3 linked regions of the Canis lupus familiaris genome follow. The protein of the gene in region 1 interacts with the protein of each later gene in a biochemical or structural test. Links are inferred from orthologs where the notes say so. Each region holds a gene or a part of one and is shown on either strand. Other genes may lie near its edges.

Region 1 (7,273 bases):
TGTTCTCTGGACACTTTATATGTTAGTTCCCAATCTAATAGGCATTTGATGTTTGGACAATGTTATATTCTTTAGTCATCCATAGCTGTCAGTTAAGATTGTCTACTAGCAATTAGTAACCCAAATAAATGCGGAAGAAATTTCTTTGGAATTTTAAAGGTATAATTAGGAGATTAAATGTGATTGCATTTCAACTATTTCATCATATCCTTAACCTTAACCATCATATCCTTAAACATATTGCTAAATAATATGATAACATACTTAAACATCGTCTTGGATTTTCTGAGTTTTCCCTCCTACCTATAGATCTGAAATTGTTCCTGAGATTTTCTTTTTTCAGGTCAATAGGATCACTCTCCTGCCATTGCTGTTGCATTGTTGATTTTAAATTAGTCAAGTGTCCCTAAAGGTATAAAGAGTCAAAGCTTCTGGAGCTAGGCCATCACTAAACTTGCTTCCCATTCCAAGAGCAAATCCAGTGTTTCCTAGTCCTAATGAGACTTAGTCATAGTTCTGTGAGGAATACAGAGCATGATTCTATATCTTAAATTGAAAAAAACAAAACATGAACAGCCTGATGGAGTTTGTAAACTGAACTCCCAGCCTCATCACATGATAGCTTTGTGTCTTCGAGTAAGTCCCTTGATCTCTCAGTTTTCTCCATCCTCTATAAGACAGAAACAAGATCTACTCAAAAGGCTTTGCTCATCTTATTTTCAGTATATACTCTTAAAAAAGAACACACATAAATTCTAGTCTTCAATACAAAGTTCAGACTTAATTTTGTGACTTGAAACAATTTTTTTTAAAAAAAGATTATTTATTCCTGGGAGACAGAGAGAGAGAGAGGCAGAGACACAGGCAGAGGGAGAAGCAGGCTCCCTGCGGGGAGCCCGATGTGGAACTCGATCTCAGGACCCTGAGATCACACCCTGAACCAAAGGCAGATGCTCAACCTCTGAGCCACCCAGGAGTTCCATGACTTTAAACAATTCTAAACTGACTGTTTTTAATTCTAAACTGACCTTTTTAATGTTCCTTTTACAAAAAGCAAGCCCCTCCTTAAAATTCAGGGTATCGTGAAGGCATGTGTTTCTATCTTAAGTACTTTGGAATACAATTGGAAGTTGCCATAAGGAGACAGTGTATTTATTTAGGGCCTTGGTTGTTTCTCTGTTGTGCGCTATAAAGTCAAAGCCCAGATGTTACTACTTACTGTTGGCAGTGGCAAAATCCCCTCTCACAAGTTCCATTATATTCGTTGTCAATGAACTAGAGTCCTTATTGTTCTTCTGATAGTCAAAGAGTGAGTTTTTGAGCTTATTTATTCTGTTTGTAAAATCTTGATTGACTTCATCGATTAACCCTTTCATCCTGCAGCCAGAAGGGCATTTGTAGTTCTGGAAGGGAAGGGGAAAATTATATTAAAGCCTCTATCTTGAATCCAGTACAATTTTAAAAGTTTCCATGTGGCTCCCATTGCCCTCCCCCAACATCCTCTGATCATCTATTGACTTAAAAGTGGTTTGAGAGAACTAGTCATAGAGAAATTCTGGAATGAAGGTCCACTTAACCATAAATTAGGCTCCACAAAATCTTGAAGCCATAATACTCAGGTTCCTGGCATTTGCTGGAACATGCAACTAAAATCCAAGCTATCAATCCCACTAATGACCCAGGGTTTGGGAGGTAATTTAAATAGTGCTCTCATGGTGAGGCTACTTTCCAATTGTCTTTTTTAATTTGGCATGTAATGAGTTATTAGATTATTACCCGTTGGAAAAGTTTTCTGTGACTTTCTGGGTCAGTTTGTGCACAATTCTAGCACCACAGGGGAGGATTATCCCCCTCCCTATGCCCATTGCTCACCCAGTCTTCATCGGAACAGAAGGGCCAGTCTGTCTCCTTGCAGGCAGATTGCTGTCTTTCCACAATTCTTGGGCCACGTACACCTCCTCCTTCGGCTATAAATTCACCTTCTTTGGAATTTGTGGTCTTTACGGATTCATTCATACACACGAAAGAGAACAGCATTAGGCAGATAAGGAGAAGACACTGTCAAGCCTGTAAATCCCAAGGAGGGGAGGGTTCTCCCAGAGATTAAGAGCAGCAGCTCTGGGGCCTCTGCAAGCTTCATTTTTCTTACATTTTGATTGAAAATCCAAATACCTACTTCATGGAGTTTTATGAATTGAAGGAGACAGGGTATAGACATTTTTTAACTGTGTTGGACACGAAACAAGCATTTAATGAAGCTAGGTGTCTTAAAGGATTTATTATAGAAGAGAAAATATTTGAATCAACAAAAGTAATTAAAATTTACCTTTTCATTTTCAGTAATGTCTGGAGATGGAAGGGTATTTGGAAAATTCAGAGTTCTTTCTCCTATAATTTCTGTTTTAGTAGGACCAAACCTATACTACCTTAGTTTAATTTCTCTCTACTTCAAGTTTCTACTTCGGTCTTATGGGTCCGTAATTTGAGCAAGAACATACCAAGGATACAAATGTGGCCAATAAGGACTGGAAAATGCTTTTGAGGTTACCCGCTCATGTAATAATGTCCTTTTATAATTTTAATAATTATAATTTTAATTATAAAAGAATTTTAATATTTTAATATTCCTTTAATATAAAGGAATTATAAAGGAAATTTTAATAATTTCCTTTTGCAATGCAAAAGAGTAGACTGAAAGAAAAATAATGGACTGACAACTTTTTTTGAGCACCCTCTAATCAGAAATACAGATTTTTAAAAAAATTTCTATTGTGACCTATGAAGTGAAATAGGACATAAAAATCTTCCAATTAGACTTTACATCCTAATAAATCAAGATAAGTTTTAAGTTTTAGCTATTTTTATTTTGTATCACTAACATACCAAGGATTTTTGCTATGACTATTTTAATCTCGGATAGTTTATTCTTTTTGTTTGTTTGTTTTTAAGTACTCTCTATGCCCAGTAGGGACTCAAACTCACAACCCAGAGATCAAGAGTCACATCCTCTACCGACTGAGCTAACCAGGTACTCCCTTGAATAGTTTATTCTTATAATTTTTTTTAGTTTATTCTTATAATTACCTAATATTTGCTGTCTCATTTTTTTAAAGTATCCTAACAATAAAAATAATAATAATAAATAAATCAGCAATTAAGGACAGTTTATTTAAAGGAACAAGTACAATATCTTTAAGAAATAAAATTATAAATTCAAACATACTTCAGAATAAAATGGCACAACAATAAAAATAGGCAAAATTCAATACTTATGTCAATAAGGGAGAGATATCCAACATATCATGTTAGTAAATGATGTTAGTCTTCCAAATTTTTTACTTATTAGTTTACTATAAGGAAGAATATTAGGTTAGAAAACCTCTTTAGTTCTTTTGCTCTGATAGTAGGATTTATGAGTGGTGAAGGGAAAGAAAAAAATTGGAATAATTCATATCCTGAAAGTAATTGAGTTTCTTAAACATATTTATCATGTTTTTATAAGATCTAAGGGTTTCGAAAGCATCTTGAATGAAGTTTCTCTTCTATAGGTCTCTGGAGTCAAACTTTAGAAATTATAGCAATATTTAGTAATTATTTTAAAAGATTCCTTCCCACAAAAAGGATATTGCCTTCTCAATTAATGTCTCCCGACTATGTAATATGTAATAAAATATTGTTTTAGATGTTTTCAAAGACAACTAATTTGCTTTTCTTTAAAAACACACACCCACACCCACAAACAACCTTTCAGAAAACTACATTAAACCACTGTTCTGCTTATTATGGACAACTAGCAATAAATTAATCATTAGATTTTTAAAATTCTCATCAGAAGAATGCTTTTTTTCTGTTAGCTAGCATGAACTATCCCAAGGCTTTATTGGAACAAAGATGGCAAAGATTTCTTCCCTCAAAACAAATAAACAATGTTGTAAGGCTGAATTACAGATACCAAAGCTTCCCCTGTGAATTTCTATTCATTGGTCCAGTTAAGTCTCCCTCTTACTCCTGAGGTGTCAGACTCATCTAGGAACTTGCCTCCATGGCCTAGAGCTTATAAAGTCAACAGTGTGCAAGGACAAACTTAAGACTGACTCAGACCTGCAAGCGTTTTGCAGAATGAACACCAGAGAGAAAGCAAGAAGAGAAAGTAAAGGCGGCCATACCCAGACTGTGCCCACCACACTCAGGACCAGGCACAAGATCTTCGCAGAAAACATCTTTTTTAAGGGTGGAGCTCGCTCTTGAGGAGCACTCCAGCTGAAAGAAAGGAAGACTGCCTCCACTCTTAGTTCCTATCCTTTTTAAATCTGCAAGGAGGTTTGATTAATCATTATCTTTGTCCTGTTTAGACAGTCAACATGCGCTCTACAACCCTTGCTGCTTCTCTAAGGATGGTGCCCCAGAATTTCTTGCTCAATTCCCCCATGCTTGTTTGCTTTTGATAAGCTGTTGCAAAGGTACCTTGGGGCAATTCCAGGACAACCTCACATTCCAGGAACAGGATGACTTTAGAAATGCAAGAGGAAAACATAGGAAGATGTACCCCTGCTCGAGTACTTGGAGTACTTGAGACAATATGGAGGGTGGCTGAGGCAGGCTAGCAGTAGCCCACTGCAAACAGAGATTTGGCAAATATTTCACTTTGTGTAGGAATTATGGTTGGATGATCTGACTTTTTAAAAATGACTGTGGTGGGGGCACCTGGGTGGCTCAGGTGGCTGAGCATCTGACTCTTACTTTCGGCTCAGGTCATGATCTCAGGGTCCTGGGATGGAGCCCTGCTTCTGGCTCACTGCTCAGCAGGGAGTCTGCTTCTCCCTCTTATGCTGTCCCTCCCCCTCTTCTAAATAAATAAATAAATAAATAAATAAATAAAAATAAATAAATATTCAAAAAATGACAGTAGTGATAGGCTGACCCTGAAGTCCTTCTATAAGTTACCTTGAATGGATTCTTTTCCTCTATCCAATATGATGAAGACAGTAGACCCTGGAGCCAAACATCTTATGTTCATAATCTCAATTACACCGTTTCCCAGCTCTGTGCTTTGGGGCAAATTACATGTTTTTATGAAGAACAAATGAGTTGATCTTTGTAAAGCCCTCAGAGCAGTGATTGCCACGTAGGAAGTACTCAGTGAGTGTTAACAACTATTAGGGAACATAAAGTGCCATGAAAAAATACCATTTCTTTCCTGTGTCTATGTCTTTGGACATGCCAGTCTACTTTCTCTGCTTTTCATCTTCATATGAAAACTGTCCTTGGCCAGATCTAGCAAACAAAAAACCAGGATGCCCAGTAAAATTTGAATTTCAGAAAAACGGCAAATACATTTTAATATGTTTTGTCCCATGCAATCTTTGGGACATACATATACTAAAAAGTGCTATCAGAAATGCATATTTAACTGTGCATCTTGTAATTTTCTGGCAAACCTACTTTGCCTCAAATTCTGGTCCCTATGTGAAGTCATTTCTGATAATAGTAATACCTAATACTTATTGAGTGTTTGCTAAGTGCCACGGAGTTTGCTAGACACTTTACATCATACCTTATTCCATCTCTCCAATTAAAAGCAATCTCTTGCTCTTCCATACTTCTTTAGACCATGTACCACTCATGGCATTTACCACTGTAGGAGTACTATCCTTCACTAGATCACAGTGTTGAGAATGGACATATTTTAATTGGTCTTTCTGTTGTCCCAAAAGCATGGGCCCTCACTGAGCAAGAAAACATGAGGGCAAAGTTGACCCGCCATGCCCTCAGGCACTATAGGCATGTGAAGCTTGCTGTAAGTGCATGAAAGTCCTGGTATAAGGCAGCACCCTCCTTCACTGCTTGCTCTATGGAAGGTTTTGATCAAGCTCACTCCTGATGTTGCTTTCTTGGATTTCTAGAGGCAGCTGCAAAAGGGAACCCTAGAGCCCATCCAGGTTCTGGAAGACAGAGATTCCATGGAAAGTTGAGTTATTCTCAATCGGCAGTGACTAAACTGGCAAAATGCCAGGCATGGATAGAAACTTGAGGGAGGCCTGACCTCTTCAGGTGACTTGTCTGCTCGCAGGAAGTGTTCCTCTTGGGAAGTGAACACAGTATATGGAAGATGCTCCTAGGGAGTAACCTGGTGGGCTTCAGGTGATTCGGTTGAACATAATCGAATTCAAAGTAAGTTAACAGAAAACAGTTTGAACAGAAAGCATTCATTTGGTGGAATGCCCCAGTTCTGAGCCACATCAAGGCATTTCCAAGGTACTATCTTTAGCTTTTCTTATTGCTGTTCCATGATTCCCTCAAGAATCTGTACATAAAAAAACCAGGATGCCCAGTAAAATTTGAATTTCAGAAAAATGGCAAATACATTTTAATATGTTTTGTCCCATGGTACCTGGGTGGCTCAGTGGTTGAGTGTCTGCCTTTGGCTCAGGTCCTGATCTTGGGGTCCTGGGATCAAGTCCCACATGGGACTCCCTGCGAGGAACCTGCTTCTCCCTCTGCCTGTCTCTGCCTATCTCTCTGCATGTCTCATGAATAAATAATTTTTTTTTTTTTAAAGAATCAGTACATCCAAGTCTTTTCTCAAATGGTATCTCCTCAGAGACGCCTTCTTGGACCAGCTTACTTACAGAACAGCCATACCCTTAACAAAGTTTTGTTTCTCTTCATATTTTATCATATATTTTATCACATCATGTATTTATCCCTTCATATTTTATCACATTATCAAGAAAATGTATATTTTGGGAAGTTATTTGTTTGTGTCCCCCTAAACTAAGCTTCATGAGGCCAAAGCACACTGCCTAGTACAAGATTAGGCATAGAGGGGCATCTGGGTGGCTCAGTCGGTTAAGTGTTTGCCTTCAGCTCAGGTCACCACCCCATGTGGGGCTCCCTGCCCAGCAAAGTCTGTTTCTCCCTCTGCCCCTCCCCCAACTCGTGCTCTCTTGCACACATTCTCTCTCTCTCTCAAATAAATAAATAAGATCTTAAAAAAAGATCAGGCCTAGAGTAAACACTAATAAGTATTTGTTGGAGGAATGAAAGGCTGTCACAGTGGCAGCACAGTACAGTGGAAGAAGAATGGCCTTTGCAGAGAATGGGATCTGGATTCTAGCTAAGTCACATAGATTTAGCCAAACTTGCTTTTTTGAGCAAGTTTACTTATCTGTGAGATGAGGATGGCAATATTTATCTTGCAGGGTTCCTGTGAGAATTATATAATATGGCACATAACTTGGATATACACATTAGAAGACCCAGAAATGGTCAT
Region 2 (7,312 bases), on another chromosome or scaffold:
AGAGAGAGAGAGAGAGAGAGGCAGAGACACAGGCAGAGGGAGAAGCAGGCTCCATGCAAGAAGCCTGACATGGGACTTGATCCCAGGACTCCAGGATAGAGCCCTGGGCCAAAGGCAGGCGCCAAACCACTCAGCCACCCAGGAATCCCCTGATTCCACACAAATCTTAAGATGATTTGTTCCAACTCTCTGAAGAAAGTCCATGGTATTTTGATAAGGATTGCATTAAACGTATAAATTGCCCGGGGTAACATTGACATTTTAACAATATTAATTCTGCCAATCCATGAGCATGGAATGTTTTTCCATCTCTTTGTGTCGTCCTCAATTTCTTTCAGAAGTGTTCTGTAGTTTTTCAGCTATAGATACTTTACCTCTTCGGTTAGGTTTATTCCTAGGTATCTTATGCTTTTGGGTGCAATTGTAAATGGGATTGACTCCTTAATTTCTCTTTCTTCAGTCTCATTGTTAGTGTATAGAAATGCCACTGATTTCTGGGCATTGATTTTGTATCCTGCCACACTGCCAAATTGCTGTATCTGTTCTAGCAATCTTGGAGTGGAGTCTCTGCCCTATGACCCAGCAATTGCACTGCTGGGGATTTACCCAAAGATACAGATGCAGTGAAATGCTGGAACACTTGCACCCTCATGTTTATAGCAGCAATGTCTACAATAGCCAAACTGTGGAAGGAGCCTCAATTGTCCACCAAAAGATGAATGGATAAAGAAGATGTGATCTATATATACAATGGAATATTACTCCGCCATTAGAAACGACAAATACCCACCATTTGCTTCGACGTGGATGGAACTGGAGGGTATTATGCTGAGTGAAATAAGTCAATCAGAGAAGGACAAACATTATATGGTCTCATTCATTTGGGGAGTATAAAAAATAGTGAAAGGGAATAAAGAGGAAAGGAGAGAAAATGAGTGAAAATATTAGTGAGGGTGATAAACCATGAGAGACATCTAACTCTGGGAAACGAACAAGGGGTGGTGGAAAGGGAGGTGGGTGGGGGGTTGGGGTGACTGGGTGACGGGCATTAAGGGGGGCACTCGGCGGGATGAGTACTGGGTGTTATGCTATATGTTGGCAAATTGAACTCCAATAAAAAAAATATATATATATATATTAAAGAAAGAAAGAAAGAAAGATTTCAATAAAAATAAATAAATAAAAAATAAAGACTTTTTATACCACCTCTCCATCCCCGCTGAACCAAATTGCCATGAAAAGCATGTCCTGGCTCCATGCTCTGTACCTAACTTGGCCCTGCACTTCTCCTTTTTTATAATAGCCATTGGCAGAGCTACTGTTCCAAAAAAAAATAGAAACACCCTTTGACTTTGGGCCCAACTACCTGATTTTCCCACCTCAAAATCAGCCCTCATTGCTTGAGTACATTCAGGATCAGAATATACGGAATCTGGCCTCCCCTAGAAGAGCCTTCTCTTGTTCTCTCTTTTCCCACTGCCTTGTCTCAGCCACACACCGACCAATGATACAGATGCCATGTATGGAGCCCTGCGATTAGACATCGTTGCTCTAATCCATGCCCGTGACCTCAGCAGTGGGAGCTCAGCACGACTACAAACCCTGGCTGAGGTCACATCCCTCATTACTGGTACGGCTGGCTCAAGCCTAAGCCTCTCCCTATACTTGCAGCTTATCAGTCATTGGTAGGTGTTAACAGGTCAAACAGGTTGCCCCGTTTCCAGGAGCGGTTACATTTAAGAGCAGACTCCAGAACGGGGAAAGCTTCCCTCAGTTTAAGGGATGGATAGCCAAGGAGAGGATTCAGGTGAGGCTGTGCAGAAAAAAGGTTTAGACAGAGCGTTGGCTCAACAGCCCCATCCCCACCTTTATTCCATATCCCACACGGGGAATACTGGAGCTGAAGACCTCAGTCATCACTTTGCAGAGAAGTGCAATGATTATCTCCATGATCGTGGGGCTGAGGAGTGGCAGGGCAGGTGCCTGGTGCAGATTCCAGGCTGGGGTACTTTCCACTGCCCTGCGTGCCTTTGCTTACCGCCGCCCGCCAAGCCCGCACCCCAGGTGCTCCAACCCTGGCACTTCTGCTCCTGGAGGGAACCAGTCAACCTGTCCAGTTCTTCCAACCTCTTGTGCCCAGAGGCTCAGAATTCCTGGGGGAGATTCCTTCCGGAAGAACCCCTGGGGCCTCCTCCGTGTGTATTTGTTTCAAATCGTAAATTCTTGCTTCCAAGATAGGCTTACAGCCAGCTGATCCAGAGGGTCCCATTTAGGTCATAGTCTAGGGCTTTGAAGGAAAATGATTGTTAAGGTTCCGTCTAACTCCCAAATTCCTGTGATTCGATGACATCAGGATTGTGAATAATCCCGCTGGCCCTGAGCCAGGTTAGGCTGTGCTGCTTCCATCACAAACTTCCTCCCCCTCTTTAGGAAAACAGGCCGGGCCCCATCGGGCACCCTGCTGGCCCTGTCCAGTGGGCATCCTCCAGCCGCAGAGAAACCCGCCCACCAGGGCCCCTGACCCCACCCTCTGCCTTGAAATGTAGGCAGCCCGGAGCTGCGCGGGGGCGCTGGAGCCGAGGCCTGCGGGAGCCGCGGAGGAGGCTGCCAGGGGCGAGGAAGGACGGCGAGGAAGGCGAGCGGCGGCGGTAAGCTGAGTTCTCTGCCTCTCTGCCCGCCCGGCTCCTCTTGTCTCTCTCAAAAGTCTTTCTGGCAAACGGAGCCAAATAGAGGAATGCCTTCACGAGGGACTGACTTTGTAATTCAGGCAAAAAGCGGATTAGCTGGAATCCGAGCCCATAGGGATCCTTCTTTTTGCATCTGCATTTCATTGGGTTAGGCTGAAGCGTTTTGGAGGAGCGAGGGCGGTCAGGGGAGAGACAGGGGGAGGGTTCATTTCTTTGAAGAAGAAATCTCTGCTTGCAGGGTCAAAGGAAAAGTGAAAAGAATCAGAGAAATGCTCTGAAGAGACAATGGGAGCCCTTCATGACTAAGGGGCAAGAAAGTGGAGTCAGCTGCCCTGGCTACTGGTGGCTCTGCGAGCCCGGAGGGTCCAAGGGGGGTGTCGGGCTGCCTCCCTCCCCCAGTGAGCCCAGTAAGAAGCCCAGGCTGGGGATGGTGGGGGTTGCGCGGCGGGTCACTTGCCTTGGAGCTTGGTTACCTAGGTGGGAAGTGCTGGTGATCAAAGGACAAAAGACAGATGGGACTGTCAGAGAAAGGCCCCCAATCCCCAACCCTCCTCCCCCCTTCCCCACGTCCCCCTCATTTCAACTGGTCAGCTTGTTCCCAGGCGTTTTGCGCAGTGTGCAAGTGTGAGGTCCTCTGTAAGGACTTTTCAATTACAAGGAGGAACAGAACATCAATGCTCTTCTTCCTAAGGCACTCTGCAGGGAGCATATTAGGGCTTTCCAAATTTTCAGTTATTATCTGTATTTTCTTAACCTCCCTGGGAGGGAGGGCTGGAGGGAGCCAGGAAAGGAGGAAAACCCACTGAGCTCCCAGGTAACTAGCGAGAAACTTAAATGCAAAGAAGTGTGGAAATGATGATTTTTCTGGAGCTGAAGTTGGATTAATAATAGTGATCTCCGGTGGTGGATTGATGATGGAAAAAAATTAGATTGTGTGTGTGTGTGTGTGTGTGTGTGTGTGCATTTGCAACTCCATGAAGAGATCCTGCAAATACAACTCTGAAGTGGAGTCCCCTCAAAGGTGACTTCCTAGCAGTTCTTGCCCATGGGCAGGAAGACTCATCCTGGGATCTAGACACTGACTTGTCCAGAATCAATATATGACAGCGTGAGCCAGACTAGGTACCTGCAGAGATTTGTGAATATTGAAATAGAAATAGCTCCACACAACCCATCAATTTATTCTACCTGAAGTGTTCTCAGAGACACCAACCTCAAAGCTCTGCATCTCCTCAAGAATAAGTGGTAGCTTCTCTCCGACCAGTGGCTCAGTCTCTGTCCAGACTCCCTTAGACCAACCTAGTTTATTTTGTGATGCCTCCTATCAGATACTCCTGGTGTCTGTGCTACTGTCAGTGGCTTCCTCACACGCTGGCACAGTTCATGCAGCCAGGGAGTAGCTGAGGGACAGCAGTGCTTTGTGCTCACTGAGGAGGAGCTCTGGGACTCGGCTTCATTTCCCTGGGTCATAACATGTTGAGCAGAACCGTGCTCAGTACATTTCAAATTACTGTAACCAGCAGCCCAGCCATACCCAGTGACCATATTGATCTAAGGTTTTTGTAAGTGACTGGCTGGGACTGCAGAACATTTGGGGAAACTTACTGTCCAGGGGAGGCCTGTTACTAATCTGCAAATGGCAGCTTTTCTGGTTATGGGGTTTTATACCAACTGAAGGGCCCCTTTGATGAAGATCATCATTTGGAAGGAGCAGCACCAGCTTCAGGACTTCTGAAGCTTCTAAAATGTGGGCAGGTTATTGTCTATCAGAGAGCCAAGGGGGCAATATTGTTCACAGCAGTGGTGGTGAACTTAGCTCCAGTCGAAATTCAAAGTCCATACACTTCTCAGAGATACTGAGTGCCTGATGGTGAGGAAGGATTTAGGTTTTGAGTTGAAATGTTCAATTTTACTTGGTTATTTGGCATTGTGCATCTGCAGTCTCAGAATAAAATTTCTACTACTGTGAGTGAATTTCAGCTCTGCTCTGATAAGATGGCTAGGATGGACAATGAGTGACCAGAATATTCTATTCATTCATTTTTTTGGTTATTTACTTTGCATGGAAAAATTCTTTTTTTGTTGTTTTTTTTGTTTAAAGATTTTATTTATTTGAGAGAGAGAGAGAGAGAGAGAGAGAATGAGTGGGGAGGAGAGGAAGAAGCAGGCTCCCCATTGAGCAGGGACCCCAATGCAGGGCTCAATCCTAGGACCCCAGGATCATGACCTGAGCCAAAGGCAGATGCTCAAGTGACTGAGCCACCCAGGTGCCCTGAAAATTTCTGTCCATACTTTCAGGCTATAAGCCTCATCTTAGCCAGCCAGCTCACAAAACTGCACGGTAGTCTCAAATCAAACCGGATAAAGGAATGAAGACAAATTTAGACTCATAGAAAGTCAGAATTAGAACCTTAGAGATCATTTGCTCTGGTCCAACCCCAAGTTCAGCCACACGGCCTCCGAATACTGGCTTAGTAGTCTACTTCCATATATAAGAATAGCATATATTCTTGGTGATCTTTTGTTACATTCTCCTGCCCGAGAAACAGATTTTTGGAGAAGAGGGTAAAGCAACAGACAAGCCTCTTGATACCTGAAAAATAACATGTACGACAGAAGGGAAAAGGAAACACATGCAGGCATGCAGCAGGCATTTCATAAACATTTTTTAAAAGATTTTATTCATTTCTTCATGAGAGACACAGAAAGAGGCAGAGACACAGGCAGAGGGAGACACAGGCTCCTCACAGGGAGCCCCATGTGGGACTTGATCCCTGGACTGGGATCATGCCCTGAGCCGAAGGCATCCCTCATAAACATTTTTTAAAGAGATGACTTGGGCAAGTTCTGGTGCCTAGTATGGTTACCCAGACAATACTAACTAACTGTTCTTCCTATAAAACTAATACAATTGTGTGTCTTTAGCAGCTGCCTAACACCATCTGTGCCAACAGCCATGATTCTGAGGGTGACTCTTGGCCAGCAGGCCCAGTTTGGCTACGTGATCCTCCTGACAACATGTATCAGTGGTTTGGAGAGGTTGGTTGGACTGATCTATAAAACCTGATTCCACCCTGAACCTTGGAAGTAACCCACTTCAAGGTCAGGCTGAACCTAGATATGAGGCTATCTTTGTATTCAAAGCCTTTTCTGTTTATTATATGGTCACAAATATTCCATTTATAACCAGACATTAGGGAATCAAAACTGAACTCGTGTCCCAGAGGCTCTTATATCCCTTGGAACTCTTGGGCTTTCCAAACCATACTTCCTCCTAGAGATGCCCTGGGAGGGAGAGCCTGGGGTGTGTGAATCATATTCCTTTAGCCAATGGACGGTGTTTGTGCTGAAGAGTAAGGGGCTCTGGCTGCTTGCTGCTATCACCCTGCACCCCAAGCAACGGTCACCTCTTGGCAATATGCTCTGTCAGGAGCACCTCTTCATTTTGTTCAACAAGCAACTTATATAACATCAGTTCCAGGAAGCCTACATTGACCAGCACCTTACCTCAACAAGAGGGAGCTAGATCTCTGTCCTCCACATTCTACTAAACCCCTTCTTCTGCTGCATTTCACCTTCTATCCCTACCTCCCTGCATACCACAGCACTGATTACATTGTACTGTGATTGCCTAATTACTTGTCTGTCTTGTTCCTAAACTATGAGTTTTTGAGGATAGAACATATTTGTCTTTATACCATAGGGCCTGTGCCTAGTACAGGGTTGGCGCTCAATGAATGTCTGATATTGAATACATAGAGTTGTTAAATATTCACCCATGAATTCAAGAAAGGAGGAAATTAGATTGAGGTGGGGCTTGAGGGAGAGGTGGGTGCGGGGAGGATCTGATAGGTGGCATCCAAGGAGGACACTCAAAGAGGCCCTCAAGCCCCTTTGTTAGAGACCTTTGCATGAACACCTTGATGTCAGCTGAGGTCTTTGCAGGTAGGGAACAGGACACTCAGTAGGGAAGGGAAGCTAAGCCCAGTAACCTGCACTGAGTGATCTAAAAGGAGAAAGACTACCAGTCTACTGGATCTCTTCTGGCTATTTACATTTTGTAAATGGAAAAGAGAAACTTGTCTTATTTTGCCTTGCCATAGCAAAGAGCCAGTGTCTGCCACCTGGGCTGCAGAGAAAAAGGGAAGTTGTTTTTTTTTTTTCTTTTTCTGGGAAGCTCCAGTTTCCTAATTTTTCTCACACAATGTCTCTGGTTTTTAAACATCCATGTGGTCTGCATCAGACAGGTCTTATCAGTAGCAATGGTCTGATCTTCCAGCTGTCTTGGGTGCTAATTCCAGTTTCCTCTGAGAGTTCAGAGTAGCCTTGATATAAGTAGGTCCAGGAAAGGCAAATTAAAAAAAAAAAAAAAAGATTAAAAATAGGATAAAAGGGATACCTGGGTGGCCCAGTGGTTGAGCATCAGCCTTTGGCTCAGGGCATGACCCCGGGGTCCTAAGATCAAGTCCCACATCAAGCTCCCCATGGGGAGCCTGCTTCTGCCTCTTTCTGTGTCTCTGCCTCTCTCTGTGTGTCTCTCATGAATAAATAAATAAAATCTTTTTTAAAAAATAGGATAAAAGACATGACCTAATATCCAGGAAAGAATGGCTCCTATTAATACC
Region 3 (7,412 bases), on another chromosome or scaffold:
CCAGGATGGGATCCCCAGGCACAGGCTCAGTCCACTGTGGTCAGGCAGCCTAGGCACCACTGCCCAGGGCAGTCAGACTACTGTGGGTAGGCGGCGCCTCAAAGACAGGCCCCTGGGGAGACAGAGAGAGGAGGACACTGAGGGTGGGCAACATGCCTGTGAGCCCCAGAGGTCTGTCTTCTCACTCTAGCTGCTCCCTGAGCTGCTGGGCCCTGTCCTCTGCACAGTGGGTGTCCAGGGAGAGCTGCAGGCTGTTTGTTCCCTGAGGGATATGGCGAGCTTGGCCAGCCCTTGAATCCCAAAAGCCCTTCCTCCACCCCAGACCCTGCACTTGAGAGTGGTGACCCTCCAAGCACGCAGTGCAAAAAAAAAAAAAAAAAAAAACTAGTTCATATTTACAAGCTTGGTCATATGCATCATCTTATTAGAACAAATGCAATGTACCTGAGTAGCCACAAGCCCATTTGACAGATGGGGAGACTGAGGCAAAGAGAGGTGCCACAGACAGCAGCAGCGCAGGTTCCTTTAACATTGTACTTCCCTAAAAACATTTCTAATTTTAATATGTTCTCATTTTCCCAGAAGCCCCAGCCCTCCAGATCCCTGTCTATGACAAGTGCCTGTACTTCATTTAAGCCCTGGGTCAGACATCTTTTCTTATGGAACATGCTCCATGCCCTCCTTCTAGATGGAGGTCACCTAGATTTTATGTGAATGGTGCTCAAAGCATTCATGCCTCCTCATTGTGTGTTCGTGTCCTGCTTGCCCCCGGACGTCTTGGGTCAGCAGCATCAATCCTGCTGAGGTTCGTTCATCCTCAACCCGCTACCCAGAAAGTGGCCTGACATCCAGGAGATGGTCAAGAAAATCTTCTGAGTGGATGAACCAGTGAGTCAACGCCCTGGATACTGGCCTCGTCTATTATCAAGAGTGAAAGGGGCACCCTGGCCGTGGCTGTCCACGGGATGGTCTGTGTTGTACGCATGGCAGGAGGGAGGCTGAGCTTCTCACGGGGAAGGCCGAGGCAGGATGGGGGTCTGGGAGGTGCAGCCAGTTAAGAGGAAACACCAGCTTCTTCCTGTTCGCTCCCCTTCCCAAGGGTGAGCAATCACAGGCTAGAGAGAGGCTACACAGCAAGTAGATGCCCAGCAGACACCTCAGTACTGGGCAGAGCGAGCCAAACACAGTCCTTAAAGAGCTCTGGAAAACCCACTTGTCAGCTGCACTCCCCTGTGTCAGCAGCTGGACCGAGCCCCAGGGCATCAGCGTTGCTTAGGGGAATGCCAAGAAGACAGTGTCTCGGACTGTCTGCTCCACAGCACAGGGTGGGGGCCTACACTCGCCTTAACCCCGACTGGCCTCCCTCCACCCCTTCCCGCGGTGTGAACTCAGCCCAGCTTCCTGCAAAGCCCCCAGACTGTTCCCTCCACCCCAGGGCCTCAGCCCATCCCTCACTGCCTCTTGGAAGCCACGGTGACTAATGAGGATCTTCACAAATGATCGCCTACAGGCCTGAGAACAATGGCCCCAAACCTCCGTGCTCAGAAACTGCTGCTGACACATTTCCCTGAAATCAGTAATTGGATGCCTTTTTTTGTCCAATTCAGCAGATCCCAAAGTACTCGGTGATATTGCCTCTGAATTACTAAGCGCATGGGCCTCCACCCTAGCAGAGCTGAGCCCTGGTCACTCCCTGTGCATGGAAACGGCAGGGGCAGGAGCAGGGCAGAGCGGGTCTCTGAGCTCTGCCCGCTGTCTTCCTGCTGTGCCGAGGGAGGCGCCCCAGTCAGCAGGGGTGCCTGCTCCTTCCTCGCCCCTGCAGAACGCGACAGCACCTCTGCCTCCCTCACTGGCCTTGCTCAGAGGTATCCCTCCCCTCCTTTACAGGCCTCGCAAGCTTGTCCCTCTAGAAGGCTGCCCTCATAAATCACTCCAGGAGGTAATGTTCCAGCAAGGAGCCATGGTTTCCCAGTTCTCCTCCACAGGAAAGCCAGCCCCCACCCAGCAGACCCTACCCCATTGAGAAGCACAGTGAGGGCACCTACCGACACTGGTTATCTTCTGAGCACTCAGGTCGCGCAGCAGGGCTTCGATCGCAGGGTTGTGTCTGGAGTAGAGCTCGTACCGGTTAATGCCGATGTGGAACTTAAGCCAGTTGGGGTAGGAGTCCACTGCCGCCTCCCCCGTGGGCAAGAATTCTTCATTTTCAGTGCCTTCACGTGGCCTACAGAAAATGAAGGTGACCCGGAATCAGCAGGGAAAGAACAGGGTGGTAAAATCTGGATGAATAAGAGGGAGTTGGTGCCAATGCCAAGGTTTTAACTTTGGATCTAAACAAATGCAGATTTATTCAAAGATGCCTCTGCTCAGACAGGACCCTGCGGACACCCTGTACTTTTTCCGCGGCTGTTGTTCTACTAACTAATAACATATCTAAACTGTAATTCTTACTTACCCTCGGGAGACGCCCAGACAGCTATAACTAAATCAAGACTGAGCCCAGAACATCAGTGCCAGGCCCTACCGCGTCTGTCCTGGGGTCACGAAAACAGCCCAACAAGTGTTATGTCAGCTTGGGGTAGGGGAGGCTGTCACTTCTTCCTGGGGGCAGACAAGCAAGCCATCTTTGACCACGAGCTGTGTGCACATCACAGACACGCCCCGCCTGTCAGAAACCTTCCCTGGACGCTCTGTTTTGGTTCCAACAACCAAGCGTAGAAATGATGCAAGAAGCTAAATTTGATTTTAACGAGAGCAGTCTTGGGTGGGGAGAGAGGAAAGAGTCAGGCACTCACTCCAGCTGAGGCCCAAAGTGAGGACCTGCCGCCCACGTGGCCCCTCCTCACATCTCTGGAGTTGAGGGGCCAGTCTGGGGGAGGACAGAGCCTATTTGCGGCTGGGCTGGAGGGAAAGTGGAACCTGTCTTAACTCTAATTCACCTACGGATGAGGCCCTTCTGGCCCCGGGTCCTGTCCTCCAGAGGCCACATCACTGACCCCCAGCCCTGGGCTGTCTCTCCTGGGAAGAGCCCCAGGCCTAGGTCACTGCTCTGATTCTCAAGTTTCTAAGCATTTCCTTGAACCTGGCCAGCAGACAAAGCTCAGAGGCCACCAAGCACCTTGGTGTATTTAGACAGAAAAGCCTGGGCCTGGTCAAATTTCAGGGTAGAAAGGATTTTTATAAGATGTTTTGGAAAGCTGGCCTTCCCCCTGAGTTCCTTGGGTAACCTTTTGCAGGTAGGTATTTATTCTGGCCTTGCTGCTAGTTAATATTTCACTACTCTGGGCTGTAGCATCCGTTTATTCTGATCTGTGTGGCCGAGGAGGGCGTGGGGTGGGGGTGGGGGATCCTGTTTAAACCAGGACAGTTTAAAGCGATGCTCCTGAGGATGCTTCTCACCTTTTATGAAGCTGTCACCCAACGCAGCTGGCACCGTTCCAAGGGCAGCTGCTGTCTGCACCCCGGCTGGGAGAGCCCTTTTGTTATGCCTCATTGGGGCCAGCACGCCCCTCTGCTAATTTTGTTCTCAGCGGCTGGCTTACAAGGCTCATTAGGCTTTTGCAGACTTTCCTGACGTGTCCACTAGAGAAATGTCGCCGAGAATCTAAAATCTTAGCAGCCAGCAGCTCCCCAGGGAAAGGTAAGGGGCAGTCTCTGTCTCTCATTCGCTTCCTTGCCAGCTTGGGCATGCATTGCCTGACTTAGTTTCTAGAGCCAGTGACCAGGACTTTGCAGGCCAGCAACTGCTCTGCTATAGAGTCAGCACTGACCCTCCCTTGACTCCACAGGGAGCAGCTCCCAAACCACCCAGAGGCCCTTCTCAAGGAGGCAGTCACTCCAGAGACAAAGGCACTGCCCTGAGTAGGAGGCACCATGCTGCCCCGCCCCACAGAGCTCTCCTTGCCAGGGTGGGGACTCTGCCACAGGGGTCCATGCCCCCTGGGGGTTCCTGAGCCCCTACGCCTCTTTAAACAATGCCTGGATGTGCAAGGGCATCTGCGGGAAAGGGGAGCACAGGCTGATGGCTGCTTGAGGGTTCCGGGCCTGCAGGCACCCACCCTGAGCGGCCTCCGGCCTCACTCACCAGTCAGGATTCTCAGCGGCCGCCTTGGGGTTGAACCTGATGTCACTGTTCACATTGAAGAGGACGTCGTCCTCGGTGAGCGGTGGAACGGACACCTGGTAGAGCGGGTGTTCGAACAGCTTCGCCAGGAGAGAGCTGTCCCCGCTCGGGCCAGGGGGCGGCACCGACCGGCGCGGCCCGGGGTCTCGGAGCAGTGGCCGGTGCGCGGGATCGCGGGGCCGGGGCCGGCCGGGATCCTGCCCCTGCAAGGCGCCTTCGGCCGGGTCGGCCGCGGCCGGCAGTTTCTCCAGCGAGTGGGACGTGAGGTTGGAGGAAGGGTCGGAGCTAAAGTCCTGCAGGATACGCAGCGTGTGTTTGTTGGGCCAGCCCCCGTCGCCCGCCGCGGAAGCGGGCTCCCCCGGGCGTCCCCGCGCCTTGGCCCAGCCCGGCGCAGCCGCCTCCACCGCGGGCTGCGCGCACGAGCACCCGGGCTCCCCCGAGGGCCGCACGGCGCGCCGCTCCAGCTTGGGCAGCAAGTCCAGCACGATGTGCAGCGCGCAGGCCACCAGGAACACCATCAGGATGAGCACGCGGAACCTGCGCACCAGGATCATCTTCATGGCCGCGCGGGCGAGCGCCGCCTGGGACTCCGGGAGCCCTCCCGGGGCGCGCTCCGCCCGGCCCCGGCTAGTCTTGGCTTGGCACGAACGCACTGCCGAGGCACAGGTCAAGGTCCATCTGGCGGCGGCCGGCTACCAGCTCCAGGGCTGTCCCCCGGCGCGCACCACGTGTGGGGCGCCCACCGCCGAAGAGCCCGCTCGCCGGGCCATCTCGGGGGCCGTTCCCCCTCGCCTCCCCGGAGCGGCCGCGCCCTCGGCGGCCGGGCCCAGCGGCCCTCGTCCGCGGAGCTGGGTGCGCAGCCCGGCGAGGCCGCACGCACGCAGCGGCCGGCTTGGGGTCTCTGCGCTCATCCGGCGCGCGGGGGCCCGACGCTGCGGCCCATCTAGGCCAGGGCGCGGCGGCCTGGGGGTGGCGGTGAGATGGCTCCGCGCAGTCCCCTCCGCCGCTCCGTGGGCCGGCCCGGCCGAGAGGGGGCGGCTCCTCCGGGCAGGGCTGGTCTCCCTCCCGCGGCGGCCCGGAGGCGGGGACCTGGGGGGGGAGCCGGGCGCAGGACGGCGGGGACCGGGCGGGGGCGGGCACAGGGCGGGGGGCGCGCGGGGCGGCCGGGGAGTCCCCAGGCAGGTGCAGCGGCCGTCCCCCGAGCGCAGCGCCCGCCCGGCGGAGCCTCTCGGCGCCCCGCGCCCGGGCCGGCAGATATCCGAGAGCCGCGGAGCCGCCCCCCGCGTCAGCGCCCGCAGATTGGCGGAGACGCCGCCCCGCGAGTCACGGCCAGACCCGAGCCGACTCCGCTCCCTCTTTCTCCTCCCCTCGGCCGCGCCCCGCGCCGCCTCTGCAGCTCCGGGCCCGCGAAGGAGAGGGCGCCTCCTTCCCGCGGCTGCCGAGCGAAGACGGAGAGACCCGAGAGACGAAGGCCGGGGGGCGCGGGCGCAGCGGGCCGGCTCCTGCGGGAGGGGAGCGGGCGCGGGCGCTGGGGGGCGGGGGTGCCCCCGGGCCGGGCCGCCGCTCGCGGGACCTCGCCTGCCCGGGCCGGCGGCCGCCAGCTGCAGCCGCGCGGCTCCTCCCCAGATGAGCCGAGGGCCAGAGCCCAGGCCAAGTCCCTCCCCGGAGCCGCGGGGCGTCTGCGCCGCCGGACGAGCTCCCCGCCGGGCGGCGACCTGGTGCCCCCCGCCCCCGCCCCGGGAGGCCCCCGCGCGCCCCGCTGCCGGCCGGGGAGGAGGGGGAGCCCCGGCGCCGCCGCGAAAGAAACGCGAGGAGCTCGGTATTCGGCCCAATAGCAAATCCGGAGGGGATGCCGGAGCTGCCCCTGCGCCCGGCCGGGCCTCACCCCACCCCAAGGGGACACGCCTGCGCCTTAACTCTGGTGGCGCGGGCGCCCCCGTGCAAGGATTCGCCTGGCACTGAGAGATACCTGGCGTTTGCAGAGGCCGCACCTCCCTGGCTGGTGTGTGTGCGCCGTTTGCTTCCTACGCGCAGAATCACCCACCCATACCCAGGGGCGGGCCACTTCTACGTGGCCTCTTCTGGGCCCCCAGTGGGGAATATTCATGTGAATGTCTAAAGTCCTGGTGAGAAGTGTAAGTGACCCTGGCCGGGGAAGGCAGTCCAAACACATCCGCAGCCAAGCAAACAGGCTGTCTGCCCCATGCCCTCAAGGCACTGTGAATTTTCAGCCTCTCTGTGGAGAAGCAGTCTCTGGTGGGGAGCCTGGCGGGGTGCCCCCACTGTCTGGTGCACTTGCAGTGCTGCCTGGGCATCTCCCTGCCCTCTCTGGACTTCAGTTTCCCCTTACCTGCATTCACAGCACTTCTGCGTCTGGCCCAGGGCCCAACATGCAGTAGGCACCCACTAGCTGCTTGTGGTGAAGAAGAGGAGTCCCCGCCCAGCTGGTCAGTGAAGTAAGTGAAAAGGTCACTCAGCCCTTCTGGAGCTGGAAATGGAAGTTGGACGGGCAGAGTGTGAGCGTGGATCTGATCTGGAGATGGAGCTCCCCCTCCTTCCCACACTGACGGCGCCATTTGTGTGCCAAAGAGGTCACTTTGGGCAAGGTTACCCAGAGAGGCCGAGGAGACGGCGTCCACGCTGAGATGGAGGCTCCCTTTCACGAAGGGAGCAGGACCCTGAGCTCCACACGTCTTCCTTGGCCTTGGGATTCTGTAGCCTCTGGCTGCTTCAGCGGTCCCCTGGTCCATGTCCTCAGGGTGGCTGTGGGGTGGCCTGACCCCATGAACCGTAGACATCATGTAGAGGGGAGCTTATTTTCATGCCCCTCCCCTGCTAAATTCTTTGGGGAGCTTAGTTGGACTTCTGTTCACCACTGGATGGCTCCCTTGCATAGTCCTTGGTTCATTTCAACTATCACCTTGAAGAAGCATTATCTCGCTGACCACATGGTTTCAAAGTATCCTCACCCCCTTCCCTCAATGTCCCACCATTCTATTTTCCCAACAACACCCACCACTATTGGAAGGCAACATCTTCTGTTTTTGTTTATGGCCTGTCTCCCCTAAAAGGCACATGCCCCACTAAGTAGGAGCCTTCCATGATGCCTTGTTCACAACTCTGTCCTGGTGCAGAGCAGGTGCTCAGAGCAGACCACAAGCCACCATCCAACTTGGGGTCAGGTGTTAGCAAGCTAAGGTGCACACATGAAATGGCCTTTGAAAACCGAGCACATGCTATAGGGGACGGACCATGAAAACCCTTGGCTGAATTTTTATGCCTAGTGTCT

What was found.
Region 2: the proteins of FGA (region 1) and PLAT form a complex in vitro, tested with the Homo sapiens proteins (2 studies listed by BioGRID). The link is inferred for Canis lupus familiaris from reciprocal best matches to the Homo sapiens genes FGA and PLAT.
Region 3: of the proteins of FGA (region 1) and FAM20C, one has a biochemical effect on the other in vitro, tested with the Homo sapiens proteins (2 studies listed by IntAct). The link is inferred for Canis lupus familiaris from reciprocal best matches to the Homo sapiens genes FGA and FAM20C.

Annotation. Positions count from the first base shown.
Region 1 is NC_049236.1:52,603,744-52,611,016, forward strand, and holds the start of FGA (fibrinogen alpha chain), read right to left. Parts: upstream 4,326-7,273; 5' UTR 4,221-4,325; coding exon 4,167-4,220; intron 1,999-4,166; coding exon 1,873-1,998; intron 1,404-1,872; coding exon 1,220-1,403; intron 1-1,219. UniProt on the Homo sapiens protein: Cleaved by the protease thrombin to yield monomers which, together with fibrinogen beta (FGB) and fibrinogen gamma (FGG), polymerize to form an insoluble fibrin matrix. Fibrin has a major function in hemostasis as one of the primary components of blood clots.
Region 2 is NC_049237.1:24,200,608-24,207,919, forward strand, and holds the start of PLAT (tissue-type plasminogen activator), read left to right. Parts: upstream 1-2,482; 5' UTR 2,483-2,648; intron 2,649-7,312. UniProt on the Homo sapiens protein: Converts the abundant, but inactive, zymogen plasminogen to plasmin by hydrolyzing a single Arg-Val bond in plasminogen.
Region 3 is NC_049227.1:16,640,913-16,648,324, forward strand, and holds the start of FAM20C (extracellular serine/threonine protein kinase FAM20C), read right to left. Parts: upstream 4,831-7,412; 5' UTR 4,684-4,830; coding exon 4,085-4,683; intron 2,225-4,084; coding exon 2,046-2,224; intron 1-2,045. UniProt on the Homo sapiens protein: Golgi serine/threonine protein kinase that phosphorylates secretory pathway proteins within Ser-x-Glu/pSer motifs and plays a key role in biomineralization of bones and teeth.